Mytilus edulis: one gene and its partners. The protein of the gene in region 3 purifies or fractionates together with the protein of the main gene of each other region. This does not show direct contact. Links are inferred from orthologs where the notes say so. Each region holds a gene or a part of one and is shown on either strand. Other genes may lie near its edges. The genes, in order: DNA topoisomerase 2-binding protein 1-A-like, DNA (cytosine-5)-methyltransferase PliMCI-like, NAD-dependent protein deacetylase sirtuin-1-like and ATP-dependent DNA helicase Q4-like.

What was found.
Region 1: the proteins of NAD-dependent protein deacetylase sirtuin-1-like (region 3) and DNA topoisomerase 2-binding protein 1-A-like purify together in Homo sapiens (affinity purification with western blotting; 3 studies listed by BioGRID, with this or other methods). This does not show direct contact. The link is inferred for Mytilus edulis from reciprocal best matches to the Homo sapiens genes SIRT1 and TOPBP1.
Region 2: the proteins of NAD-dependent protein deacetylase sirtuin-1-like (region 3) and DNA (cytosine-5)-methyltransferase PliMCI-like purify together in Homo sapiens (affinity purification with western blotting; 3 studies listed by BioGRID and IntAct, with this or other methods). This does not show direct contact. The link is inferred for Mytilus edulis from reciprocal best matches to the Homo sapiens genes SIRT1 and DNMT1.
Region 4: the proteins of NAD-dependent protein deacetylase sirtuin-1-like (region 3) and ATP-dependent DNA helicase Q4-like purify together in Homo sapiens (affinity purification with mass spectrometry; 3 studies listed by BioGRID). This does not show direct contact. The link is inferred for Mytilus edulis from reciprocal best matches to the Homo sapiens genes SIRT1 and RECQL4.

The regions. Positions count from the first base shown.
Region 1 is NC_092353.1:31,999,172-32,006,995, forward strand, and holds the start of DNA topoisomerase 2-binding protein 1-A-like, read right to left. Parts: upstream 3,008-7,824; 5' UTR 2,895-3,007; intron 184-2,894; 5' UTR 154-183; coding exon 61-153; intron 1-60. Other genes in the region: zinc finger protein 1-like, read left to right, coding at 6,827-6,875, 7,279-7,304. UniProt on the Homo sapiens protein: Scaffold protein that acts as a key protein-protein adapter in DNA replication and DNA repair. Composed of multiple BRCT domains, which specifically recognize and bind phosphorylated proteins, bringing proteins together into functional combinations.
Region 2 is NC_092345.1:50,025,708-50,033,561, reverse strand, and holds the start of DNA (cytosine-5)-methyltransferase PliMCI-like, read right to left. Parts: upstream 3,013-7,854; 5' UTR 2,915-3,012; coding exon 2,862-2,914; intron 2,102-2,861; coding exon 2,053-2,101; intron 1,691-2,052; coding exon 1,583-1,690; intron 988-1,582; coding exon 664-987; intron 1-663. Other genes in the region: FIGNL1-interacting regulator of recombination and mitosis-like, read left to right, coding at 6,452-6,541, 7,199-7,238. UniProt on the Homo sapiens protein: Methylates CpG residues. Preferentially methylates hemimethylated DNA. Associates with DNA replication sites in S phase maintaining the methylation pattern in the newly synthesized strand, that is essential for epigenetic inheritance.
Region 3 is NC_092352.1:28,141,345-28,148,516, forward strand, and holds the start of NAD-dependent protein deacetylase sirtuin-1-like, read left to right. Parts: upstream 1-4,167; 5' UTR 4,168-4,214; coding exon 4,215-4,290; intron 4,291-5,415; coding exon 5,416-5,474; intron 5,475-6,748; coding exon 6,749-6,842; intron 6,843-7,172. Other genes in the region: dnaJ homolog subfamily C member 12-like, read right to left, coding at 832-910, 4,020-4,097. UniProt on the Homo sapiens protein: NAD-dependent protein deacetylase that links transcriptional regulation directly to intracellular energetics and participates in the coordination of several separated cellular functions such as cell cycle, response to DNA damage, metabolism, apoptosis and autophagy.
Region 4 is NC_092348.1:88,494,360-88,502,130, forward strand, and holds the start of ATP-dependent DNA helicase Q4-like, read left to right. Parts: upstream 1-4,751; 5' UTR 4,752-4,901; intron 4,902-6,044; 5' UTR 6,045-6,105; coding exon 6,106-6,204; intron 6,205-7,062; coding exon 7,063-7,096; intron 7,097-7,771. UniProt on the Homo sapiens protein: An ATP-dependent DNA helicase which unwinds dsDNA with a 3'-overhang in a 3'-5' direction. Does not unwind more than 18 bp of dsDNA. May modulate chromosome segregation. The N-terminal domain (residues 1-54) binds DNA Y-shaped DNA better than ss- or dsDNA.

The DNA of each region.
Region 1 (7,824 bases), on a different chromosome or scaffold from region 3:
TGCACAAACAAATAAAATTGGAAGCCATTTTCTGAAAATGTTATATATAAATTTACTTACTGCATATGCATCAAACATAGCTTTAGTGGCACCATTTCTACCAGAGCTGCCATCTGTTCTGATGCAGAACATTTTAAAGTCCCCTTCAGACATTCTGTATATTATTTAAACAACAATCTAAAGCTGAAAAAAATAATTTTTATTGTAATAAGTTGAACAATGAAAGCAAATTTAAAACCTATTTTCCATGCTTGTTAATAGGCCTAGCACTCGAACTGGACTGCTTGTGGGACAGGTGCCATAATTTTATAATGGATCTAAAATAATTATTTACTTAAACCATGTAAAAAGCCTGTAGTCAAAAGAATTTCTTTTCTACTCACAAGACTGGTAGCTAGTTACTCTTGGATTTTATTGAAGACAAGCAAATTCAATAAGCATTGATTAACACACATAACTATCAAAAACAAAAAGCATTGCATCATCTAAAATAAAAACATACATTATATAAAACACCTGTTTTCTAGTCTATAGCATTATTACTGGACATCACAAAGATTTACAGATGACAACAGTCCAATAATCGCTGACTGATGAAGGGACATTTCAGCCATACTTTGTAATGTTATTTCTACTGTACTTTTTATTGATATACATTTAAATATATATATATACGGTAGTTTAAACAGGTCTCATTAAAAAGTATCATGCACGGTGCATTGTTTAAACAGGATCCCAGAAAGCTTCAACTGGATGAAAAAGTTGTGTAATTTTAGAACTTATCCGGAATGGAATAAATAGTGATTAGGTATATGGAGGCAGGAAGTGGGATTTTGGGAAGTTCTGAAATGTTTTAGCCAATAGGCATTCAGAAGTCAGGTTTGAAATAGCCATTAACAAAATGGCATTTTATACAATACTTTTTTATACAACATTTTTATTTCAACAATGAAAACATATCTTTAGAAATGTTTTTTTATTTAGAAGAGTAAAAAAATAACGTACTCTGCACTAATTTTGAACGCTGGTATAAGAGTAGTGACGTCAATGGGAAGTTTTCCCATGTGATAAAAACAAACACAAATACTGAAGAAACCATCAAGAGGTACATTTTGTATCAGGACCGTTCGCCCTAATAACATGTTCCCCCTAGGTTCGTTCGCTCTGAGTTCGTTTGCCTATAGAGTCTGTTCGCCCTACTATAAAAAGATTAATATTGAGGGCATTGAAGTTGAATTAACTTATTTAGATATTTCTATGGTATGTATATCATGTATATTCTTGAAATATTGAAATATTTAAAAGTTTAAGGCTTGTTTAGGATAATTAATTGTTCAATGACAAAATAATTCAAATCACTGATTGTTGTGATACTTGTCTTTTGGTGGATTAATATTTAAAAACGGATAAAATTTACAAGTTCATTTATTTATACTCTACTAAGTCTAAGACTAGTCATACTGCCATACATTTGTGATTGACCGAATACAATTATTTTGTTAACAAATATCAATAAAGATGAATACATTGAAATTTCTACTCTGCAAATCAAAGGGAAAATGATAAATTGATTGCGGCAATATAAATATTCTGTCAATTTAAAAAAAAACATTCAAACTTTAACATATTTTGAATACAGAATACTTTGTTCAAATACTTAAAATAATGCGACTAGACAACAACTAGAAAAAAATAAAAATCAGGGCGAATGGACCCTGGGTGAACATGAATCTGGGTGAACGGACCCGGATTCCCATCAAGATGACCGATTTTAGAATACAGTATTCTGTAGGTGTCGCTGTTGACACTGGATTGTCTCCCTTGTAATTTTTCAAGTCTCGCGTGTATATATTTCACTCTGGTAAACAACTCACTTGTACTTTAAGATATATACTACTAGGTGGCAACTGCTTAACATATTTTTACAAAAATTAAAAAGATATATACATTTATTTATTAACATGAAAATTTAAAGGAAAAAAAAAAAAAAATTTAAAAATTTAACATTACATTAATCAAACCGGCCCGACTCGCAAATAAAGTCACCCAACAATCGCATTAGTGTTTCATTAGAGACGGAGACATTGTCGTTTTTTTCTATTGACAATAAAAGTTCCAAATCAATATGCAACGATCCTGTGTTAAAGTATATCTCATGTATAAGTTTCTGTCTTGCCTCTTCATAATTTTCACAAAATAATAAATAATGTTCCAGTTTCTAATTGACCACATTCACACTTGGGGTCTATATTTTGATTGATTTTGTTCTTGTAATTTTTTAGGTAGTATCCGGATCTTAAATTTCTAATAATTTTTGCTGTTTTATGTTCTGGATAATCAAATGTAGATTTTTTGCTGACAGTCTGATGAAAGTTATAATAAAATCTTCCTGTATCACTATTATCCCATCTATGTTGCCACTTTTTATTTACTAAAATTCTTGCTGCTGTTTTAATATCTTGTTTAGTTACTGTAATATGAGCTTCTTTTTGAATTTGATTTGCCTCTTTAGCTAGTTTATCAGCTATTTCATTTCCTCTAACATCTAGTTATACAGTAGGATATAGCAACTTCTGCAGTTAGTGGCTGAAAAGTCTTGAAAGTATAGTCAGAGAACTGTTCCTTTCAAATAAACTAAATCAGTAGACAGAGCAAAAACTCCGTAAAAAAATCCTGTGACAAAATTACTAAAAAAATCTGTATTAATCAATCAATTTCATGTTAAACTTTTATGTTTTGAGATTTTCACAGATGATGCACTGACAGCATGTTGTTTGTAAAACTGTCAAAAGTTAGGGAAAATGCTACTGTTATTTTCAGTGGCTTTGTGACACAGTTAAAGGGTTATGTTTGTTTCTTCATTGAAATTTCATGACATCTGTTTCATTTTTTACCTTTGTTTTCATTAAATCATTTGTTAACTTAAACTTTCAAAACAAATAAATGTAATTCGGAATTTCGGGGATTTCCGAAAAACCGCCTGCCGTGCAAATCCCGCCGAAAACGTGATAAATAATATATAATTAATTTTCTTAAGTTAATTTTAATTTAGTAACAATTTTCGTGGTCAAAATGTAAAGGGTTTCACACAGATTGTAATTATTGGAATTAAAAAAAAATATTATAACATTTGTATACATGATCATACATCGCGTCACGAGAATTTACGAGATTTCATTTTCTTTTGTCAATGCCGAAAAGTGAGAAATAATAAGGTAGTTATATCCCTAAAAACATGCTTTAAATCAGATCGTATGCAAATATATTAATGACAAAACCCAACCAACGTGTTATTGCATATATTTTAATCACCTCGAATCGCTGAAAACTCATCAAAAATATTGTTTGCCCATTGGAATTGGCATTGAACAAATGTTGAATAAATTATTTAGCCATCATTCGGGTCAGCAAGAAATTATTACTGACAATTATATCAATTCTCACACTGACAGGTGATCTTAGAAACGAATATGATGACTTGGTTAGAACTAAGCAATAGACAGGAAGTAAATGACATAAGACCAAGATTTACTGAAAGAGCTAGCGAAGGAAATAGCCCCTATACTCACACTGATCTTCCAAACATCAATCGAAACAGGGGATGTACCATCTGACTGGAGGAATGCCAATGTTAGCCCAGTCTTCAAGAAAGGCGAGAGATATAGAGCAGAGAACTACCGACCAATATCTCTGACTTGCATATGCTGCAAACTCATAGAGCACATAATCACAAGCCATATCATGAACCATGCAGATCGCCACCAAATTCTATACCCATTACTACATGGCTTTCGCTCCAAACGTTCTTGTGAAACCCAGCTAATTGAATTTGTGGACGACATCACTAAAAACATGAGTGCAGGTAAACAGACAGACGTACTAATTATGGATTTCTCTAAAGCTTTCGACAAAGTTGGTCACAGTCTACTCGTTCATAAACTCGAACACTACGGAATCAGAGGAAATGTCAATAGGTGGATTGCTAGCTTCCTATCACATCGGACACAAGCAGTAGTAGTGGATGGAGAGAGCTCATCACATATTGATGTAGAATCTGGGGTACCCCAAGGCTCAGTCCTTGGGCCTTCGCTATTCCTGTTTTACATCAACGACATGCCTGATGGAATTAAATCTACTATTCGCCTATTTGCTGATGACACCATAGACTACCTTACAATATCAAACGACAAAGATTCCAACGACCTACAAAAAGATCTAGATAAATTGGCAATATGGGAAACCAAATGGAAAATGGCCTTCCACCCAGACAAGTGCAATGTACTCACCATCAGCCGGAAAAACAACACCATTGCAACATCATACAAACTACATGGTCACACTTTAGAACTTGTCAAAAGCGCAAAATACCTAGGCTGCACATTCACGTTCGAAATGAAATGGAATGACCATGTTAACAACATCTGCAACAAAGCCAATAGAACAATCGGCTTTCTAAAACAAAACCTGAACATCGGATCAACGTCTGTATGGGATCCATACAACAAAACAGAAATAGACCGAATTGAGATGGTTCAGAGACGTGCAGCACGTTATGTGATGAATAAACACTAAAATCACTCAAGTGTAAGCAAGATGTTAAACAACCTAGAATGGAGATCACTTGAACAAAGAAGAAAAGATGCAAGACTAACCATGCTCTTTAAAATAGTAAACGAGAAAGTTGCTGTGACAAAGGAAGATCGTTTGATTCCACCTAAACGATTGTCAAGAAATATGCATGACAGAAGCTTCCAAATTCCAGCAGCATCAAATGATTACCGGAAATTTTCTTTCTTTCCACGAACCATCAAAGATTGGAACAGTCTACCTCCTGGGGTAGTGTCAGCGCCGTCAGTCGAGGCTTTTAAAGCCTCGGTGACAAAGCTGAACTAAATTCAAACAATATGGGGGGAGGGGGGAGGGGTCCGTATGCGCACCGAAGTCATGGCAAAATATTCAATTAGTTGATTGTGGCCATTATCCGGTAAAAGTAGAAGTAGACAGTCTGTAGCTCAAAATGCATTTTTTTCAAGAAATAATAGACATAATTTCATAAAATTATTAACTATTTATCCTAGTGGCAGTGCAAATTCTGTGATGAATTTTGCACTCTTGACCCTCTTGCTGCCAGTTGTTTTTCAGGGTTGCATTTCATATGCCAGAAAATACGACCACTCGACGTTTGTGACAAGAAATGCCAAACAATGACGTCAATCAATATATGACGTCATGTTGTAATGACCGTTACATGTGAGAGCCATTGTAGAAACATATTAATGTTCGGTCTTTCATTTTGAAAGAGGAACAGCAATGATCAGAAGCTTGCATAAATCAAAACATGGACATACATTTATATGTGTCCCTCCAGCACAGTGGTTGTAGACTGACATATGTATCCCTCCGGAAGCAAGAGGGTTAAGCTGTAAAGGGTTATCCAGAAGGGTTCTAGAATTGAAAGCCCCACTTCCATGACTTTTATAGGTTGCGTTCGCCATACTTGAATTGTGTAACTATAGAGCGTGATTCTACACTACAGCACCTTAACCCTTTGATCTAAAGCGCTGCCATGCGTCTCAGATGTCCCCAGCTTAAGTCTTGGAGAAGACAATATGGCTTTGCCAAGAAAATCATGCTCTCTGGAAACATTTGGCGCTGTACTCAAGAAAACAGCAATATGGTTAACGTTAAATATCATTTCTACCTAGAGTAATCATTGTTAGTCGTATGATATGATGACATCTGAGGTGAAGGAACATGAAGGGAATGCCACAAATAAAGCACATTTATATGATATAAACAGTCTTCACGCTGAACTGCTAAACCTACAGGCCCACAGCTCAATTTTTGGAAAGTTTTAGTTAAGATTATGTTGGCCTGTAGGTCTGATTTTTACAGGCCCCAGAGCAATTTTACCATCATGGGCTGCCACTAAGCGTGAAGACTGTATAAATATTTTTTTCCAAGTGAAAAACATGGTAAATAGTTTATACAGCATCATGTACAGCATAACAACCATCTACATGTCTTGCTTCCATGTTGTCTGTCCCGAGTCGATCCTGTCCCATATTTAAAGTCAATCTGTTCCCAATTAAAAAATATATTTATCAGGAATAATAATGACGATATATAGGAATTGTAATTCAAGGTCATTATAACAACAAAAATGAATGTCAAAATACATAACAATAATACCATATTAGCTTTTTAATACCAAATAATCAGTTATGAATAATCAACATCATGAACATTTAAGGATAAAACATCTATTAATCACAACAAAAAAAACCCAATAATTCATTCATAAGATTAAGATTTATTTTCTCCTGAAAATATAAATATTGGGATGTAATATAGCCTTTCTTTGAACAAAAATAGGGTGCAAATTCGAAAGAACCCAGTGGGCTTATGTGTTTTGGGAGCAAATGGATCCACTATATATATATATATATATATCAACAAGTGTGATGGACCACCATCTTAAAAAAGGGCAAGGAGATCTTTCCTATTTTCTGTTATTTAAATTGTTAGTCAGAAACTGCTTTAAAAGGTAAAAGAGTAATTTGGTTGATTACCCATGACTGATGCCTATCATGAATCAGGACAATTTCTTTTTTATAATATTTTATTGTATTGCTGTTGAATATTTTGATAATCAATCATGATCAATATGTTCAGTTATACAGTACTTATTGATGGTTTATCTGAATGTGTTTGTACAAGCTGTTTACATCATCCATCTATCTTTACATACATGTATTCAGACTTTATGCAATGATTTTTTGATAATTTACATGCATTATCTCTTACAGAACCAGTATTAATAGAGATGGCATTACCTCTCATACGAACACACACACAAGAGCGACCAGTTACACGTAAGTCAATAAAAAGTAATTCATTGAACAACTTGAATAATATTCTATAAATACATGAAATAGTATTCTACTGATGTTCATCATGTTTATCATGTTTATATCATTTTGAACATTTTTTACATTTTGAATCAAACTGATGTTGCCATGTTTTATAAGTGTAACTTAGAATTTAGACAAAGCTTTGCAATAGTTGAACTTGTAATTGTTTTAGTGTAAAGGGGATGTTATTTGTCATTGTTGAACTTGATAATGTTTGTTAAATGTAAAGGCTAACTAGTGCAAGTAATATTACAACATTTGAATTTATTTTTTATGATAAATTTTCAATCTCCTTGTTTTTGTGCTGAAGTTTGATTAGTTTGTATTTTATATCAGACTCCAGCATTTTATTTTTATTTTGCAGCTCAAAGAGGAAGATCTATTGGATCAGTAAGTTTGTACTTGTAGTTTTACACAAATGAAATTATTTATTATTCAAAGATCATGTGTGACACATTTTTTGATTCATTGCCCATCATCTTCCTGTTTAATGAATATATTTATGTATCAAAGATATCTAAAGTTAGGAATCAAATTTCATGAGATAATGCTTTTCTGTTTGATGTCCTGATAGAGGGGTTAGAATTAGTGATTAAATACATGTAGCTTATACAGTCGATTCCACTTAATTGCATACCGCTTAATAGCATAATTCGGTTAATTGCATAGTTTTCTCCTGCACAAAACCATTTCCCATTCATCTAATGTTAAATTGTCCGGTTATATGCATAGCTCTACAAGTGGCCTTTCGGTTTATTGCATAGAAAATTATTGCCGTCTAGATATGCTTAGTTAAAACTGACGAGATTTTTGACCGGAAACGGTCATTTGGTAAGTATATTTTTCTTGAATGCATCCTTATTTTCGTTATTATTTCATATTTACTTTTGTGTTATTGAAATAAAGTTTT
Region 2 (7,854 bases), on a different chromosome or scaffold from region 3:
GTAAATTCGCAACTTCCGGATCCATTTCCTGTCAGAATAACATTGAAAATATTCGATTGCACATGGTTTTGAACAAATCTACCTGAATATTCTTATCAGATATTCGATAACACGATGAAATTAACATTGAGCATATAGGTAAGGGTTTGGTAGTACAAACAACTACAGCGTAAAAAAACTGTGCCACTTCACATGTTTCACTTCTTTACGTTCGTTAAATCAGAAGATAAATACAGAGAACATCGAATATCGATTAACTGCGTCTCTTATACGCTTTCTTTTAATCTTATTCACAATTACTTTCAAACGCAAAGACGACAAACATTAAGTTTTGTACGATGACGAAGCGGACCCAAAAAAAATCCGAAAAAACAAATTCTTCCAAAAAACGTCAAAAAAAGAATTTGAGTCGGCGGGTTTATTTTGGGTCGGTCGCGTTTGGGCAAACATACAATCTTTTTATTTTGGCCTGAAAAGGAACAAAAAAGTTTGGATTTGAAAAATATTATGAAAGAAAAAAATGTAAACAGCACCACACACAACAAAGTACCTTTTACCTGCAAAATACGCCAGTGTGAGAAAAGAATATTAAACAGCTGACTATTGAAAACTATTAAATCTAATATATCAAAGTTCTGCCAACATTTATTGTATTACATGTACCTCTTCAATTTCTTGTTTTTTAGTATTTTTCTCCTTGGTCACTTCTGATTTCTCTTCTGTCTCAATATCTGCCTCTACCTTGATTTCATCATTTACATCTTTTAACTCTTCTTTATTTTCTACTTTTTCCTCAATTAGAGATCCATTTTTACCATTTTCTATATTTTCATTATTCCCATTGTGTTTTGTGATACCATTAGATCCATTTTCTTTTTCCTCCATATTACTTTTTTCTGTGCCATTTTTCACAGAATTGCCATTTGCCAAAATGTTTGATTCAGTGAACTTCTGCAATAACTTTCCTAGTTGTTTAAAATAACCTTTCTGTAAATATATTTTTAAATTATAATAACATAAAATTGCATGCATGTTTAAATTAGACAATTATTTTCAGTTGGTAAATAAATCAATAACAATTTAAAAAAATATTTTCAATTTTTGTTTTTGTTACGTTACTGCCTTTGTGAAATATGTTCCATATCATCTTTTATTCAGTTTCACAGATTGGTTTTCACTCCACTGGTTACAAATGTAAAATATTGTGGGAAACTTTAAACTGAATCCATTTCCTCTTTTATAGCTTTCCCTCTGTGACAAAAACATTTGTACTACTTAGCTTTTAAATGGTGAATACAAATATTTTCTAAATAACCTTGTTTAGTTATTGGCAATCAGTGTAAATGAAGCTAAAGCTCTTCAACTGTTTTTGGTTTTATATATCCTTGACTTTCAATTATTTGGCTTCAAGTGTTCCTGATGAAGGTAAATCCTGAAAAACGCTTTGACGAAATAAATTTATATGTGTTGTTTTTATTTCTAAGGAGGACTTAGTTACATGTACAAGTATATGTATAAACCAATTTTATACAAGAATTATTGTAATTATTTTTTTACAATAACATATATTGCTTGTCATTACCTCAGTAATATTTTCATCTTTCAGCTCACTTTCCAGTTCCTTGATATCTCTTTTTACTCCTTCAGGTATAATGTCATTTAAAACTTTGCATTTCTTTCTCCAGTACCCCTGTTCATTATAAAAAAAAACAATCTTTTAAAGAGGCAAGTCCCTCATAAAAGCAAAAAAGATAGAAAAAACAACAACAAAAAACAAAGCAAAAGTGACATCACATGATATTTTAATGAGTAAATATTTAAATGGGTTAATCTTTTTCATTACTGCCTACAATTATCATTTTTAATGGACTAGACCTACATGTATTTCACATTGAAGATGATCACAAATTGTCTGAATAAAGACACTGGTTAAAACTAAGGAAAATTCGAAATGAAATTTCACATGATCATTATCTAACATTATCCTTCATCACTTACAAAACTATGCTTTAATCATGTTAATAAAACAGATTCAATCCAACTGTCACTTACCTTCTCAGTGACATCACCATCTTTATACTCTTCTTCTAAAACCTTTAACCTGCAAAAAGATATTGATAAAAAAAATTTTATGAAATTTCAATTCCTGCATTATTATTTGAAAGAACAATATTACAGTTTACAGACACAATAACGATGATAATGATGATGATGAATAGCTGATTATCTTTTAAATGTAATATGAATATTAACCGTGATTTATACTATACTGTCACCCTTAGTTAGTTTTTTATCATGCAAGTTAACAAGGTTCAGTGTAACAATATGCAAGAACAATTCCTAACTTTCAATATAAATGAAGCTGAAACTGCATATCAAAATAAGAAGACACATCACCCTAACAAGACATTTAATAATTTCTAGCTCCCAGCCACCCAGTCTGTGCTCCAAGATAATGCCAGAGGCAGATTTAGGGAAGGGGGGGGGGCATGACCCCACCCCTTTTTGTTGAAAAAATTTGGTTCTTAAGTGAATCATCTATATAAGAGCAAGCAGGCCCCCTATCATGGCAGTCAATTGACCCCCTTGTGGAAATACCTAGATCTGCCCAGGCGCGGATCCAGAGGGGGGTTCCGGGGGTTGGAATCCCCCTTTTTTTTGGACGATCAATGCATTTGAATGGGGACATGTAATTGGAACCGCCCCTTTGTCCTGGGTTAGGAACCCCCCCTTTTTAAAATGGCTGGATCCGCCCCTGCTGCCACTGATTGCTCCAAATATAACTTAGAGCTTGATGATAATGTTTTATGGGCATTCATAGAAAAAAAGGCTGCCACTTTAAAAGATCAGAGAAATCAAACCTGTCTTGAATATCTGAGTTTTCCTTTTCTTCAATGTCTATTTTCCCTGGCATTTTTGAATTCTTTTAACCAAAGAATGAACAGAGAAGTCAACCTTGTGTTTAGTTGCTTTCCCGCGAAATATTGGCCTATTCCATAGGGAAATCTAGACAATTAAAACTTCTTTTGAAAATTAAATCATATTTATTTAAATATCTTTCTTATTCCAATCAATTTGCTTATGAATATTTTATTTCCTAAATTGATTATTTTTCATTTACTGAAGTGTAAAATTGTATTTATGCTTTTTCTTTAATCTGTTAATCCCTTTTCCATGAAAATGGACTAAACCGGAAGTGAAGAATGTAAATAAAGAAGTTGGCGGAAAATATGATCGTTTGCTCTTTGCTGGTTCATGATATTGTAAATTTTCGCTAAATATTTAAGCATTCCTATCAAGTCTAGAAACAACAGTGGAATCACAATTACTGATTTAGAATACAAATTTAGCTCACTCCCCGAACAAAATGTTTTAAAAAATCACTAAAGTAAATGAACTGTGCTTTTAATTTCATTTCTGAATTCTAGACTACTCTTAATATGTCACAGTCACTTGTTTCTGTCAATGTTGGGTTTTACTATCCGTAATTTTTCGTACGGGTATGGATAGTAAACCCCACATAATTTTGACAGAAACAAGTGCCTGTGTTCTCGAACACAGAACTATACCGTAAATTTAGTTATATTGGATGTAGTTTTATTTTGGTTTATTTGGTGCCTCCAATGAAATTGCCAAAATTCAACACATGAAAATTTATCAAACACTAATTGAAACGCCAAAATTGCGTACCTGTACAACAATATTGCTATGTTAGTTGTTGGAGAAAACATTTTATGTTATCAGGCCATAAAAAAGAATAGGTTTGTTTGCCCTAGGATTTGTATAGTAACGATACAAATCCTTGGTTTGCCCAAACCCTACCTACCCAGAAAAAATCAGCCTACTCAAATTCTTTTATTGTCCTGATTTGAAGAATTTTTTTTTCAATCAGATATGAAGACTAATAAACACCTGATAATTCAATTTCTTTAGAAAAAAAAGGAAAATGCCTACCTACCTACCCACTTTCTCAACCTTGAGTAGGGTTTGGGCAAACCAAGATATTTTTAATTGTGGCCTCATATCTTCCGTATACATGGTATATTTACTACAAATCTATACATAGTTAAATCTGCAAATGAATACCTGATATAATTTGACAACATTACTAAACAATTTTTAATTAATTGTCAATTTTCGGAAATTATCCACACATGTCATAAATTGCCAAGCTATTGCTAATTAGACGCCGTTGTTGGTAATTAGAATATCAAAAGCGTGGGGTGTCTTCCCATTTATCCAACTTTTTAAAATAAGGTATTCTCATTTAGCCAACTTTTTATTTTTGTTAATTATTGGGTTGTTTGTTTAGTAATAATAAGGTGTCTTTCTAAAATTTTATAATAAATTTGTTCCTGTATGTTTTTATATTATTTAAGAAATATATATAAAATAGGCGATAGTAAACTTGTTACATTTAATTTTTAAATAATATAAAGTTAAGTATATTTTAAATAATAAATAAATATTTCATCATTTATACAGAAGAAACCCACAAATCAGTAATATTTTTATATTAACATTTTATGAAAGTATATAAATTATGACTGTCTTTATTACTTTTTTTTAAATTGTAGAAGGTGCATTTTACTTTTTTGAAAACAATTAAACGTGTAGGTTTCATGAATGAGATTGCTGCTACTGTTGTTCCAAAATTTAAAAAATCAATTGGACGAAGTTCCAAAATTACACACACCAAAATAAAACACATGCTTTTTGAGAGAAAACCACCAAAATATCCTGACGCCAAAATTTCCCAATTTACGGTATAAATAATACAAACTGTAAATGTTCTATCCATACATATACAATATTTATTATTTTAGACTAAGGGAGAAGGTTTGGATCCATTAAAACGTTTAATCCCGCTGCAAATGTTTGCACCTGTCCTAAGTCAGGAATCTGATGTACAGTAGTTGTCGTTTGTTTATGTAATATATACGTGTTTCTCGTTTCTCGTTTTGTTTATATAGATTAGACCGTTGGTTTTCCCGTTTGAATGGTTTTACACTAGTAATTTTGGGGCCCTTTATAGCTTGTTGTTCGGTGTGAGCCAAGGCTCCGTGTTGAAGGCCGTACTTTAACCTATAATGGTTTACTTTTTAAATTGTTATTTGTATGGAGAGTTGTCTCATTGGCACTCACACCACATCTTCCTATATCTAAGAGTGAAATAACAATTGTAACATGTATCATGTGTATATCATTAAGTTGTTGTGTAGGACATTAAACACCCTAACTAAATCAGAAAACTAAAATCCCCTTCAAGTTTATAGAATGATGTTGATTGTTATACAAACATCATCCATAGAAGAGCTGCATAATGATATTAAATTTAGTTTATCATCGTGACCTTCAGTTGGAGTTCATATTGACAGATTACAATTATAGGTTTAAATGTTCCAGTATTGCTAACATGATCCATTTAAATTTTTGTCTTGCCTGCTAGGAAAGTCCCAGAATGTGAGGCATTGGGATTGCAATCCTGCGACTGCTGCAGAGGTTTTAAGTAAACTATTTATTAAAAGCCTTATAATTCAGAAAGTAGAAAACCTGGATAGTCCATACATGAACATGTACATTGCAAATACAAATATTTTATTGGCACATACATATACCTTAGTTTACAAAGTTTCTGTCTGTCTCAGGTCCATTGTCCTTGACCTCATTTTCATTGATCAGTGTAAACTAAAACAAAGTATGTATTTTTGTCAACATGGTCAAGTTAAGATAAAACTAGAAATAGAATTTGGATATGGGTTTCTTGCAAGTTTCATTTCCATCAGTTAGGGTTCACCTGTCATAGACCTCATTTCATTGGTCAGTGATCAAGGTTAAAGTTATGTCGTCAAGACTGTACATGTATCTCAGATACTATAAGCATTAGGTCAATTATATTTTGTGTTCTATTGTATGGAATGATAATTATAAAGTGTACATGTCTGTCTGGAAGGGTTCATATGACCTTGGCCTCATTTTCATGGTTCATTTGTCATTGTTAAGATTTATGGTATTGTTCCTCATGTACTATTAGCTATAGCCATATTGCAATATTTGGCGTAAAGATGATTGTAAGGTGCACATGTTTGTCTGGCATGTTTCATCTGACCATGACCTCATTTTCATAGAACATTGATAATGTTAAGTTTATGTGATACCTTGTGATTTTACTATTAAACTCTTCATATAACATACTTTTAACATGATTTCAATTATAAGACATTCGGGTTGTGCACTCTTGTTTACATTTTTTATATAATTTACATGATTATCCAATTGAATAGTGTATCACTCAGCATATTGTTTTCTTTAAAAAAAAAAAAACCTACCAGATTGGAACACATATGAAGAATACTCGCTAGAAATTTAACATCTAACTTTGTAAAAAATATTAGTAGATATACTAATACAGAAAGTGAAATATCTATTTCAGGAGATGAAGTTTATATAGATGTCACAGACAACCTTTCTTGAATCTGTGGTCAGCTGGGACCATCAGAAATGTCAACAGAATCTTGATGAAGCCCTACCTAAACTTATTGTATCCTTTGATAAAATTGTCTTCAAGGTAGATGGATGGCTGGACCTTTTTCTGGACTCCGGGATTGGGTGTTTTTAAGCTCTGGATTGCGAGATTGATCCTTTCGGGATCCGAGAATTCTTTTTTTCGAATTTCGGGATGTTGGGATTTTAATTTCTTCAAATTCAGGACCTCAGGATTTCATTTTTTAAGCCTGGGATTTCGGGATCAGGACCCCTCTGCAAGTTTAAGCTGTTGGTTAAAATTCCTGTGAACAATTTGCCTGGGCTGAATGACAAAAAAATGTAATTTTATATGCTTGAGCAGAGAAAAGGTGAAAACATTTTAAAATGTAAAATGTTTTTGTATATGAACATATTTACATTTTCATCCCACTTCAGTTCTTTAATATTAAGGGTAAAAGACCTACAATGGTACAACTTTATACAAGGATTCACTAAAGTGGCTGTCTAATTTGTTTAATTTGCAGCACCTACTCAGTTACTGAAATTAATGTGTGTGTTATTTGTTCCTATCCTGAATGTAAATTAAATATTGCAAATACATAAAGTAAACAATCAATCCTATAAAGTGTATGGATTGATCACAATTATTAATGTTTTTCTTTGAACATGCTTCTTTTGATAGAAAAAGAATTCTTTCCTTAATTTGCATTAGGATTTTCTACAGAATGCAGAAATAATTCAAGAAAAAGTTGGTAAGTCTAGAACAAAACATTGAAATACTTATGTCATGTCATGCTGAAAGTGCAAACATTAACATGAAAAGATAAAAATGATAAGGTACAATGTACCTCATGCAATAAATAATGCTTTGAACTATGGCTCTATGGTTGTGGAGATACAGCATAAAAGAATAATGTTATGAGCATTTATTTTTATTGATAGGGAAAAATTGGAGTGGAGATGCCACAGGAATGGGCAATCAAAGCACAAAATGTATGTGAATACAACAAAATGACTTAAAGTAAAAAGCAATGCTTATTCTCTAAGCCCCATATACCTGTAGTATGGGAATTATAATTGTTCGAACAATGTGCTTGTTTCATACCAACAACCTTTCACTTTTTAAAGCAATGAACTAAAGCATTGTTGGCATAAATGAATGACCCTGTCTATTTATCTGTCTGTCTCTCATATTTGCAATGCTAACAAACTGTATCAATATTGGTGAAAGTTTACACAGTTGTAGAACACTATCAAATGAGATGATCATAGGAACATTATCATGATTAAACACATTAAAGGGGAGATAACCAAAATTCAAGGACAGGGTATCATTCTTGTGAGTTCGCTCACAGTTCTAGTTCCTTC
Region 3 (7,172 bases):
CATAATACGTCCCGTCAAAATTTTGACGGGCGTATAAAAAAACTCCCCTGTTTAACAAAATACTCAATAACTCCAAAATAAAGTTTTGAATCATCAACAAAAAGTATACAGATCTTAAGATTAATATAACAAAGAAGTGTGTAAAGTTTTAAGCAATAATCATAAATTGTTTTTGAGATACGGCACAACATGTAAAAAAAAACCTCCCCCTTTTTTACAAAATACTCAATAACTCAAAAATGAAATTTTGAATCATCACCAAAAAGTATACAGATCTTTAGAATAATATAACAAAGACATGTGTAAAGTTTTAAGCAATAATCATAAATCGTTTATGAGATATGGTGCGACATGTAAAAAAACCCTCCCCCTTTTTTACAAAATAACTCAAAAATAAAATTTTGAATCATCACCAAAAAGTATACAGATATTAAGATTAACATATCTAAGAAGTGTTTAAAGTTTTAAGCCATAATCAAGAATCGTTTTTGAGATATGGTGCGACATGTGAAAAAAACACACCCCTGCTTTAGTTACAAAGTGCCGTAACTCAAAAAGTTTTAATCTTATTTTCAGCAAAAAGTATACAGATCATTTGACCATCATAAGAAACAACTATGTTAAGTTTCATGAAATTTGAATAAGTTGTTCTCAAGTTACAGTGCGACATGTTTACGCCGGACAGACAGACGGACAGACAGACAGACGGACAGACAGACAGACGGACGGACACCGGACATTTGTATACCATAATACGTCCCGTCAAAATTTTGACGGGCGTATAAAAATGTGCTGATATATCTTGATCTATATATATTTTATGATCTTTACCTTTAGATTCATCTCCAGGATGTTTATCAGGGTGACAACTCAGAACCCTGGCTTTATATTCTGTTGTTATCTGTACAGTCTACAAGGGAGAACACAAATTGTATAAGAATAATAAATAATAATAATAATACATTTTTAATAACATTAAAGGAGTAGGTTCGATAAGGCCCTAAAATAACCCCTTTTTTTACCTTAAATTTCATAATAGCATTTATTGACCAATATCACAATGAATCATAGCTAATACATTGATTAGATAGGAAATGAGCCTTTTTGTTAAAAATTTACATCCCTGTGTTCTACTGATGACGTCACAAACACTACTCATTTTTATTTTTCACAAAATTTACCAAATTTTGCATGATTATTGGACAGGAAACATGGAGCGCATACATCGACAAAAAAGATATCTGAACACAATTTTTTTAATGACATTTTGCATGTTTAACTTGAATATTTAGTTTTTCCATGTCTGCACTCTATGTTTCCTGGTCCTAAATTTGGTTGAAATCTGGCCAATTTTTACAAATTTCGTCAAAATCTCTTATTTTGACCTATTCTGGATGTAGAAATCAACGCTTTAGAATAAAACTTTGACACAAATAGTTCTATTTTACTTTCTCACATGTCTATAAGACAACTTAAAACATATTTTACCTTGTACCATTCAATTTTATAATTGGGGCCAAATAAGGCCCTTACCGAACTTACTCCTTAAAATAACTTGAAGGAACTTACTTTTCCATATGCATTTTTAGGCATTTCAATGTGTTCAATTTGTATTGGGTGGTAGATCAATTTGTGTATTTAAAATCATCTTTCTGCCTATTTAAAACCATTACAGTAACTTGATTTTAATCAAACCATATTTTTACAAATACAAATATTTTATTGGCACAAACTCAATTACAATAATTGGCAATGGCCCATACAACATGTACAACAAGTATACAAATAGTAATGATGCAGCAATTAAACAATACTATACATATTACTCATTTATAAGGACATTTGTCCTTAATTCAAACATGATTGATTAATAAAAGATGATATTAATCTAAGTGTTTTTCTACACTTGCTATTAAGTAGTAGTTTGATATATTCATCTTCAGTTTTGGATTGTTTGTCATAATTTTTAAAATAGGACAATTTGATATAAGAAATTTTCTTTGTGATTCATATTTTGTGCAGTGCAAGATAAAATGTTTTTCGTCTTCTATATTTTTATTGACATAATTTGCACAACCTTTCTTCTCTGTTAACTTGCATGTATCTACCGGGTACCTCTTTCAGTTTCAAGATTGTGTGCACTTAGCCTTAGTTTTGCCAAAGCTGCCCTATCTTTCAACTTTTTCAATTGGCCGTTTCAGAATCAAAAGAATCATGGGTAATTTCATAATGTTCGTACCCCAAAATGAAAATAATGTCACGTCATTGGATAAATTTCCATTGTTTATAACATTTTAAACCAATCAGGACCTTTTGGTGTACACTTTTGTAAATATTACCCAGGATGCATTAGATTCTGAAACGGCCAATTGGTCAACATAGGAGCCTCAACATTGTGTGCACGTTTATTTGAAAAATATATGCAAAAAATATTGGAAGAAAAAGAAGGTGTAACGGTTTATTTCTTCCTCTGTGATATTTTATCCTGAGGATAATTTGTCCCGGTAATTTTTTTCCAAGCATGGTATTTTACAGGTTGATTTTTTCCAGAGGAGTGATAATCTATCTGTGTTATGCGGATAGTATGTACCGGTATATATTTGCTGTACTTTATTTCACAGAACGGTGTAAAATAGAGTCCCATTAACTACTATGTAAGTTACTCACAATCAATATATACCTGACTATAATTATAAAATGTTTCACAAAGGTAGACCAAATTTGCACAATTTATCAAAGGGAGGTAAGTATGAGCAATTTATATTTTATAGATATTAATATAATATATTCTGAATCTATTTTATAGTGAAATTTTTCCTTGAATCTTATTTTTATATATTCATTTATATAAAAAGATGACTTACAACTTGATTTAATAAGACAGATAACAATTCACAGGTTAAAACTATCCAGCTGTTAAGCATGCTTTTGTTCCAATATATTATTATGCTATGATTTATCTGATTTCCATATCATCAACAACTACATCTCTGTCCCCAGACAAAACTATTTATATAGTTAAATATCATCATAATCAAATTCTTCTTTTACTGTTAACAGTATTAATGCAACTATATTTCTACCTTACTTTTAAATTTATATTTGTACTGAGATCTGAAAACAACTCACTTTTACATGTATTTCACTAACCTTATTTAATCATTATATTATTTTCACAATTACGATCTTTGAAATTACTTCTGGTTTTCTTCCCTATGTTTCATGATAATTTTCTTATTATAAGGATGATATTGACTTGAATATTTCAGGAAATTTTTTCAAGGATAATTTATGAAATTATTTCCCATTATAAACAATTTTTTTTTAACAATTTCGCTTTATTTCAAATACACTATTATTATTTCATAGTATTTTTAAAGGTAGTCCGAGATTACTCTGACGTCCAACGGCTGTTTTGCCAGACAAGCTGGGGCCGTGGGACATCAGGGCTCTTCCCATATCAAAAAGTGGATATTTGCCCACCCAAAATAGATGCCCTGCTTCGTCGCTTCTCATGCCGATTGAGGGCCTTGGAATCATATAAATCGGGCATCAATCTGTTCATTTTTCATTTATCTCTTCATTTATGTAAGTTTCACCTACCTGCCAACCTTTATTTTCCATATTTTAACAGTTTTCACAGAGACCCATCGATTTCTGCATTTAAAGGATAAGTTTTTTCTAATAACTATTCAATAAGTTAACTACCCAGATAGAATTTCACGGCAAAGGAAAACATATCCCCGGGAAATATTTTCCTACAGATAAAAAAATAACAACAACTACTGTGACATTTTTTCCTCCGGATCAAATTTCACCCGGATATAATTTTGCTTTACATAGGCACATATTCCTTTGAGTAAATAAATTATGCAAATTGCACAATAGTACAAGGATTTCAATACAAATACTTGATATAATTATAAAGGACTGTTACAAACTAAAGTGAAAGTAGATATTGGAAAATAAATTGCATTAGTTTCTACTTGTGTAAGTTGTAAAAACAGTCATTGAATTACGTTAGAATGCTCGTTACAGCCAAGAATTTTATAGAAATCCTCTTCTTCGTCAGGTTCGTAGTTAAATATGGCCTCCATTTAAAGTTTAACTTAAAACTGAGTAGGGAAACTCTCCTTCACAAAATGAGCATGATGATTATTTATAATTAGAAACAGGAAGTTGCGTCGAAGGACTGCGCAGAGCTATCGAGGAAAATGGCGGACCAACCCCTAAAAAATGAACCACCTTTCAAACGTCAAAAACTCAATGAAGAGGGTACTGATGATTCAGGTATACATGTAATAAAACAAAGCATCAATCGATGTATTGAAAATGTGTAATATATAAGCGGGATGTTACTTATTTATTATTGAAATCTACGAAATCCCGAAACTTACCTCCCTTATTTTGATGATTCATTCCTATTATTAGATTTTTACTTTTTTCAGACAAAGAAAACATTTTTTATCCATGGAAGGTGTTTAACCAACAATGTAACTTCACATTAAAATATTTATTGAAGCTGTTTGTTACACCTGTCAGAAAATAAAAACAAAGTTGCAAATTATTTATAAATAGATCAAAGGGCTGTAATCCAGTCTGTTTTTATAGAATAAGGGGAATAACTCTATAACAGTTTGCTACTTTCACTTTGTTTTCAATTTGAGTTTATTTCTTTTTTCGATACCAAAGCTCTAATAAAAACTGTATTTCATATGTGGACTGTATTTGTGATCTTTTGTATAAAGATGAAGAATTGTTGCCCATGCTATAAAAAGTAAAACAACCAATAATGAGCATCACATGGTTCTGGAAGATCTTTTGACCCTTTTATATGTTCATTATTTTTGCATGGGTTCACTGGACAAAACAATGTGTTGGATTTAATCAGTTGTACATGTGTACAACTTCACCAACCCCTTTGCATAATTTGGAACAAAATCAATTATCAAGATGTTTTGCTTATCCAAATTAAAAAATAGGGCTGAAGTGGATATTAAAAAAATTTTTCAACCTTATAACATTATAGAAGGACTACATGTATTAATAAGTCAGTACTAACTTTAGGTCATTTGATTATAAATAATGACATTAACAGTTTATGTCAATTGACCCTATTTGAAAAATTCAAATGCATATAGACTTAAAATTCATTGCTTTAAAGCCTTTAATAAACTCCTGACTTTGATTCATCAGGGAGATTGCATTAAGTTCCATGTACTGGTCTTTATAAAATTCAACCTGTGTCATATTCCTAAATGTTAGAGACCCAGTTAGCTATGTACTAAACCTTTGGAAGTAATTTCCATCCCCGTTAGTATATATTATTGTGTTGCTCAGTTGTGTCATTACATTGTTCATATGGTCTACATGTGCTTGTAATCCCAATTTTGAGTTGTATTTAAATATTTTCAGAACAACAAGGATGTTCTAATATTAATATACCAAAAGATAATGAAGCTGGGAATACTGAGGTAAGCTAATACATTTATACATGATGTTTGAAAATGACATATAAAAATGAGGAGATGTGGTATATGACATGTTATTTTTGTACATGTACAGTACATGTACATGCAAAATTGACAATGAGACAACTATCCACCATCAGGCCAGGGTTAAAATGAAATGGTAGTAATCAATCATAGGGCACTGTACAGCCTTCAACAATGAGACAAACCCATACTGTTTAGTCAGCTCAGGAAAAGCCCCAACATGAAAAATATGAAACAATTCAAACGAGAAAACTAAAAGCCTTATTGATAACAAATCAATTGAACAATAAACAAATACAACCGGCATGCATGAAAACAACAACACCATTTTACTCCAGGTTTCTGATAGGGACACATCAAGAATGTTTTGGGGTTTAATATGTTTGCAGCCCTTACCCTAATCTGAAACAGAAGTGTCTCAGCACACAATAGAAACAAATTGTAAAATCAGTTGCAATTTGCTCAATAATGTTAACTCAAAAGATTGATACAAGGCACAAAAACCACCAACATGAAAATATGGACACAAAACACCAAAGTTACAGTTATTGAAAGCCAACTACAAACATGTACAACTGATAAATCAATTATTTTCTCCAAGGACCAAAGAATAAACCATTACACATCCAACAGATTTAGTGTAAAAGGTCAAACAGTTATGGAAACGCATGTTCTTATGCAATATCAAAATTTAAGTTGCCAGTACTGACAAGATGCAATATCATGAGTTTGCATAACTGTACATGTCAAGCAATGTATATTTAGTCGTGTTTTAATTTTAAAAACAAAATCTATAAACAATATTTAAAGATTTTACTATTGTTTAATTGATCATCTTAAAAAATAAGTTAATTCATAGGATCAAGAAATAATTTATATGGATCGTATCTAAGTTTGTGACCTAAAAAAATGTATATAAACAGCATTACAGTAAGATTTAGGATTTGATATTCTGTTTTTGAATTTTTCAATTACAGTCAAAATTTCCAACCAAATAATTGTATCTATGAATTTATTTGGTAAAGGTTTTGATTAATTTGTGACTTAATTTACCATTTATGAATGAATGTCATTCATTGAAATTAAGGTAAAGGTAAGAACTATGACCTTTTCTAAGTGTAAATCCAGCCAACTACGTACATACATGTCAGATGCTTGAAAACTGAGATACAATGCACACGCTTTTGTGTAAATATAATAAAAATGATATAATTCAAAGTTCCTTATCATGTATTGTATTTGTATGTTTACAGCAAGTTCATGAGGCACAAACAGACAACTCTGACAATTGTAGCGAGATCAGTAATCTGTCAGGACTATCTGAAGAAGCATGGAAACCTACATCAGGTTTGTTTAGGCTTTTACATTTATTTACCTTTAATCCCAGTTAATTGACTCTTCCTCCAAGAGCCATTTGATCAAATTCAGAGCTGATAGGGCTACATATTCAAACATTCTGTATAGTTAACAGATTCACCTTTGATGTATTTAATTCATTGGTCTAAATGTTAGACTGCAACAAATTCTAGAACAACTGAATGCTATGTTAGCATTTATTTATAAATCGGTTTTAACTGTAATTAGAAACCAACAAAACTTCATTTTGATTTGACAATTCTTATGGGAGTTATATCTATGGTAACTTAATGTCAGAGAATCAGATTGTCACTTTCTTTA
Region 4 (7,771 bases), on a different chromosome or scaffold from region 3:
TACCGAATGCTGATTCACTACATGACACAATAAGCTGTCAATCATTTCAAAAAATCAATAATCGTGCTATCGGGGCATTGAAATCTTAACAGATCGATCAGTTTCCAGTCCTGTTACTGTTAGTATATTATGGGGACGAAGTCCCCAATAACAGTAGAAAATTCAATAAAAAAAAAAATTTGGGATAATTTCCCGAATTTTTCATTGTACTAATGAACTCAAAATCGTTCAATTTTTTTTATGTCATGTTTTGAAATCCCGGACATGCGCAGAAATGTACAATGTACTTTCTTTTTCCGGTCTCGTTTGTATGAAACTTTGAGTAAAATATATATTTATCAGTCTAGTATAAAATAGGAAGGAACGCGCAATACCAATTTCATTTTTAATAATTCCTTGATATGAAAAAACGTTACCTGATGATAGCGTTTCTTTGTTTACATTGCATATGACGTCATAATTTAAATAACGTCACAACTAAAATCCCTAACAACAGAACCAAAATCGGAAACGTTTCGGTATTTCCGTTTCTTTTTTTTTCAACAAATATTTACATTTAATCGTCCCCATTTACAGGTAATGCCTGCCTCATATTAGTTCAAGGTACAATCAATACTAAAATAAATTTTGGTGTCTGAATAAAAAAATATTTACATATTCACAAATGATTTACAAACTGACGAAGATGCCTAAATATAATGACTTTGGTACTACTTTTTAACTGATAATGTATGTGCATGTAAAAAATCACATTTTTACATGTTTAGATAAAAAGTAAAACTATATTAAAAACATTGTCCCTAGCACTAGGCCTAGTAAACAGACATATTTTTTGCTATGGTCTGTCAAACAACACCACTTCGGCACTTGTTATTTACAAACTTTACCTATGGAAAGGGAAACCTTGACCATCAAATATGATAAAATAAATCAGGTGTGGACAGTGCTAAAGATTGTAAACAATTATCGCATGTTTTCAAATGGGCGCAGCCATGTTGATCTATTCTAAATGCAGGACTGGATCTCGGATAAGGACAACGTTTATATTCCGCGTTACCAAAATTTGGAAAACAATTGTGAAGGATTTTCTTATTATGGGACTATAAAATCAATGCATTAACCCCAGGTTTAGACTACTTTCTCATTTATTTTCAAATAAAGCATATTGCGTTTGATAATGACATCTAGTCAAATCGGCACTTGGTTAAATTGGCATCTGGTCAAATCGGCACCTGATATACAAATGCACTTTTCTCATGATTTTTTCCCCCTATATAACTTTGTGTTATATAAAAGTATAAATTTCTATATGTAATTTCTCTATACCTTGTCAAAATGATGGTTTATTGAAAATAAAAGATATGTAGGAATTTTTTCTGAGACGAGTGCCTGTGCTGGTAGGTAAACGGACAGAAAGTCACAGGACTAAAAGTCACAGGACATAAAGTCACAAATTTGATAGGACAAAAAGTCACAGGACAAAACGTCACAAATAATTTGTTGACAATTGATTGGATATATTGGAAAAATATCTTGAAATATTTACTTTTTAATACAAATATTCATATTAAAGTTTAGGAAATGTGTCATTATGATTGAAAAAATAAGATTTATTTAATTTTAATCATGCAAAGGATATATTTCTTAGTACATTTTTTTTTCTATTAACAGTGATCATCTTTGATAATTTAAAAAAATATATAAATTTTGTTTACAAAGTTGGTTTATATGCAATAGTTTAAGAAAAATACAAAAATGTTTTTGTGAAAATACAAGCATTATTTTCTTTTTTTCTTTTTTAAAGAAAATAATGCGGAGAAAAAAATGAGTTGTGACTTTTTGTTCTGTGACTATTTGTCCGTGACTTTTTGTCTGTTACATTTTGTCCAGTGACTTTCTGTCCTACATTTGTTAGTATAATAGTCCAAGGTATTTTACAAAAAAAAAAGAATAAAATAAAGAAGCCGGGGTTGTCCAGAAATATTAACGTATGATTAACACTTTTCAGGGGGTTTTCCGGTTTTTGTATGTAATTTTGTTCAACTTAATGTGTATTCAAAGTATTGGACATTTGTTATAAATGCATGTTTTACCCAGTTATGCATTTTCAATGATTGTTGTTTAATGCTGTTTTTCAGTAAACTCATGATTAAACAACATCTTCGGTAAAGGCTTCACTGTTTTTCATTTTTAACATCACTGAATAACTACCTGACGGATATATATATATAGATTATTTGCTGTTGATAGTGGGGTATGTTTCTTTTTGATACAGGCCCTGGTTGATTAATTTATATTCCTTGTGTGTGTGTGTGTGTGTGTGTGTGTCATTTTAAGGTTTTATGAATTGTTACATCTATCCACTGGCAGGAACATACTATGTTTGATATACTGTTCCCAGATCTATCGGTATTAAGCCGAGTCAGCCCATTATAATTTATGCGAGTACATTTTGGAATATGGCCTAAGCTCGTTTATCACATGTCATCTGTCATGGGAACGCTTGGAATTTGCTTTTACGGAATTCAACCATATCAACGTTAGTTAATAAATAAACTCATCATATCGGAAACAAGGAACACAATTTTGTATTTGCCCCAGACGCGCGTTTCGTCTACAAAAGACTCACCAGTGACGCTTGAATCCAAAAAAGTTTAAAAGGCCAGAAAAGTACGAAGTTGAATAGCATTGAGGACTAAAAAGTCCTTAAATTTTTGCCAATTACACTGAGCCAAAGTAATCTATTCCTGAGGTAGAAAAGTCTTAGTATTTAAAAAAATCAAAGGTTTGTAAACTGTTAATTTACAATTATGACCATATTAATGATAATTCATGTCAACATAGAAGTGCTGACTACTGGGCTGTTGATACCCTCGGAGAATAAAAACTCCACCAGCAGTGGCATCGACCCAACAAGTGGCTTAAAGGCAGTGTTCGTAAATAGACTCACCATCTAGATACCAGGATTGAATTTTGTGTTTCTGCCTAATGCGCGTTTCGTCTACAAAAGACTCATCAGTGATGCTAGAATCCACTGCTTGAGTACGCAGGCACAGTTTTGGATTCACTTTTTAACAACATTCATGTAACAATTAGATATTGTGCAAAGATGATCAGCCTTATCTGAAATGAACGACTACCGCGTTTGAGAGTGGACACCTCAAACCCCCTCCTACGTACGTCAGTCATTTGAAACAGCTAGGCGATAGGATGGCGAGATGAAGTTGGCAATAACAACACTAGAATATTATACCGCATCACTAATAACTATAGGGGCATGTCGCATATACGGCACCAGAACATCAACAAAATTATTTATGAAAGGGAAATTTTAAAGTAATAGTTCGTAATAAGCAGTAAGTTTGACCCAAATATGTTAAAATAAGCTCTAAACATCAGTGATGTATTATTCACTTGTAAGTCATGCCTGCCAACTGTCACTATTTGCGCCGGGGATATTTCCCCCATGAAAGCTTCCAAATTTAAATTTGAATGCGGAGCAATTTTGTCAACAATTTTAAACAAAACAATAAATTTCACCATAGCTGTAGGGTTTTCAAAGTATGAAGAAGCCGAAAAATAACAGTTTTAAAATACATTAGAAGGCCGCCTTGACGATTTTGTAGAGCCAACTTGCACACAAAACCCCCAATGGGCATTTGAAAAATTGGAAGGTATGGTAAGTCAATAATCGGCAGCCTGTGGAATCCGTATTCACGTGACCTTCAATCTAATCCCTTAGCTTAAGACTATGATCTCTATATGTAATAGGCATGCTTAGCTGTAAAAAGGAAAAGAATACCGGTCATCATTGAAAGGGAAACAAGGGTTAACTATTTCGTTGACTGATTCGATCAACAAACAGTATGCATTATACTACCGGCATCATTTTTGTATACGCATGTTTAAAATCTGCAATATCTAACCAAACAGACAAATTAAAAAAGTCACATAGAAAAAATAATCAGATGCACGTGCTTTTGATATCTATTTCAGTGGCGGATCCAGGGGGGGGGGGGGGGGGGGTTCCGGGGGTGCGCACCCCCCCTTTATTTTTGCCGATCAATGCATTTGTATCGGGACATATGTTTTGCACCCCCACTGCACCCCCCCTTTTGCCCTGGGTTAGCACCCCCCCTTTCGAAAATTCCTGCATCCGCCCCTGTATTTATATCTATACATAAGTTTATTATCGGTTGTATGACCGTCGGCAGTCGTTGGAGGTAATATCGATGGCACGTTAATTAAATGGTGGTCAACACTTAGATACACACAAAATGCTGATACATATCATAGAGGCCCATGTATTGTTAATCGTTAATTTTGGTTGACGTTTTGTTTATTATAAATTAAATGTGAGATTTTGAGATATATCAGGAAACATGGATTTGGCAGCTTATGCTTCAGGTAGTTACAGTCACATCTTCTTACCTTTGTTGAAAACTAAATATAAAATACTACCAACGTTACCGTGATGACCATATTATGATTTTGTCCTCGGAATTCGGTATTTTTGTAATTTTTCTTTTTACCTTTACAATTGTAATACATATCATATTTAAACAGTATATGCAAGATATAAACACATCATCTACAAGTTATCTTAAACAAGTTGTTAAAAAATTTAAATCATACGATAGCGGTAAATAATTTCACAAAAATTGAATCAACACTTTATCATATCGAATGTACACTTTACTGTTCTGTACAATCTGGTTTCATTGTAATTTTACCTACGGATATCAACAGTTTAAAATCGGAAACCAGTTATGTTGAATTAAATATTGCGGGAAAGAGAACTTGTTGACAAATGGTTCAAATTGAATTAAACATCTCCAACAGCGTTATCAACTACTTAAATCATGTTATGAACATTAATATATACGTACACTGGTTATAAGGTAATTCAATAAATACACTAATTATTGAATTTATAGGCAATTTCTTCTATAATCATGAATTTTCATGAAATAATTGCCATTGGACATAAGTCATTAACTTAAGCAAGCATTAATCAAACAGTCTCAGATAAAAAAAAAACCACCATCATAAATATATGAAAAGATACCAAGGCAGCACGGGCATCTATAAAAAAATCATTAACAATATTGTTAAACCAGGCATGCGCCGGAAAGTAATCATCAACCAGTTGATGTTTTTCTGTATATAAAGAAGAAGAAGAAGAAGAAGAAGTGGAAAAACCAACAACACCATAAAAAAAGGAGAAAACTATGAAACTATTTTACAACTATTGCCTTTATTTCTTCGTATTGGTGGTCTCTTGTTTGCCATAGAGGTCCAGAATGCGTTGGATCTAACTCCTGTGTGGTCTGACCGAGAACAGTAAAATCGGTTTTTGCTTCTGCACTCCTATAAAAAAATAAATAGATATAGGAAGATGTGGTACGAGTGCCAATGAGACAACTCTCCATCCAAGTAACAATTTATCAAAAGTAAACCATTATAGGTCAAGGTATGGCCTTCAACATGGAGCCTTGGCATTATTTAAGGAATAACCGTTTCACACATGATATTGGATATGTTCCTTAAGTTATAACTAACATCCACTTCCCTTTTCACCACGAATGTGACCTACAATGTACCCTATTAGACTACATGTATTTACTGGGTTTGTAATAACATGAGCAACACCATGGGTGCCACATGTGGAGCAAAATCTGCTTACCCTTTCGGAGCACCTGAGATCACCTCCAGTTTTTGGTGGGGTTCATGTTGCTTTGTCTTAAGTTTTCTATGTTGTGTCTTGTGTACTATTATTTTGTCTGTTTTTTTATTTTTTACCCATGGGGTTCTTTATTTTCTATCTATGAGCTGATCTTCACCATTACCTGAAAAAATTGTGCAACATCACAACATAGAAAGACTAAAATGAGTAATTAAAAAATATCAATTCCTTTAAGCATGTTTAAACAAAGATTATTGTTTGTTAAGTTTCTCCTATATACCATGTATACTTTAATTTAAACATGCATTTAACAGTTCAACATTTTATGTATTTTAAAGCTATCTCTTATTTTTTTCAGATATATATATATATATATATATTTAAAAGAAGATCATGATGATCAACTAGAATGAAACAGGATGTCTGGAAGTAGTTATGATGAAGCTCAAAAATTGAAAAAGAATCTGAAGAACTGGGAAGTTGATTTTATATCAAAGCATGATAGAAAACCTAAAAAGGTAAGCATGTCTGTTTGAGTAAGTTCATAATTGAAATTGTAACAAAATGCAAAAGAAATGTTCATGCATCAGTTAAATATCTGCACTAACTTCTTGTATTCATATAATCATCTGGTAATTGACCTCCTGTGTGTCTATAACATATCGTTTGTCAACTTTGTACATTTCAACAGCATTCAGCCTGCAAATGTTCAATGTGAAATTTCATGATAATTCAATACAACTTTGAATTATGCAGTACATATGTATAAAAAAGAAGATGTGGTATGATTGCCAATGAGACAACTGTCCACAAGAGACCAAAATGACACAGACATAAAAAACTATAGGTCACTGTACGGCCTTCAACAATGAGCAAAGCCCATACTGCATTGTCAGCTATAAAAGGCCCCGATATGATAATGTAAAGCAATTCAAACGAGAAAACTTAAAAAAATGAACGAAGAACAAATATGTAACACGTAAACAAACGACAACCACTGAATGACAGGCTCCTGACTCGGGACAGGCACATACATGAATAATGAGGCGGGGTTTAACATGTTAGCGGGATCCCAACCCTCCCCCTAACCTGGGACAGTGGTATAACAGTACAACATAAGAACGAACTATAAAAATCAGTTGAAAAAGGCTTAACTCATTAGATGGACAAAAATACATTTTTATTTAAGATGTTCATGTGCGGATGGCAGATTTCTAATATTTGATATTTAATATGATAAATTTCTACATTTGAAGATCGGCAATGATTGAAATATAGATTTTTAAAACATGAGATGTCATAAATGTTTATGGTTAAAGAATTATAACTATCATATTACACTATCTAAATTATGTTTATTTGATTCTTATTTTCAGGAAGATATTGATGCAGCTCCACAAAACATACAAGGTAATGATCATTGTAACTTTAAAAGACCTACCAGTAATTCAAAAACTTAATATTTCACATGTTTGCCAACAGTTAAAAGTCCATGTCAGCTTTTATCATAATGAAGAAAAAACAATGTATAGATTTGGTGTGTCCCAATCAATATTTTTGGTTTTTCTTCACTAGGATTTCTCAAACCCAGAATGTGATGTCCAAATGATATACAAGTAATAGAGTATGCTAGGAGCTATATGACCAAGAAGGGACTTAAAATAAATAGCCAAATACATGCATGATCAACTTTACCCTAAGGAAGTTGGGAAAGAGAAGGGAAATTCAAACTCAATAATAGAAAAATATTGCCATGAAAAAGAATAGATTAAAAGGCAAAACACAACATAGAAAAACTAAGACTGAGCAAAAGAATGTTGTAAGAAAAAACTAAAGACCAACAACACTAAATACATAGGACAACATAGAAAACCAAAGACCAACAACACTAAATACATAGGACAACATAGAAAACTAAACACCAACAACACTAAATACATAGGACAACATAGAAAACTAAAGACCAACAACACTAAATACATAGGACAACATAGAAAACTAAAGACCAACAACACTAAATACATAGGACAACTTAGAAAACTAAAGACCAGCAACACTAAATACATGGGACAACATAGAAAACTA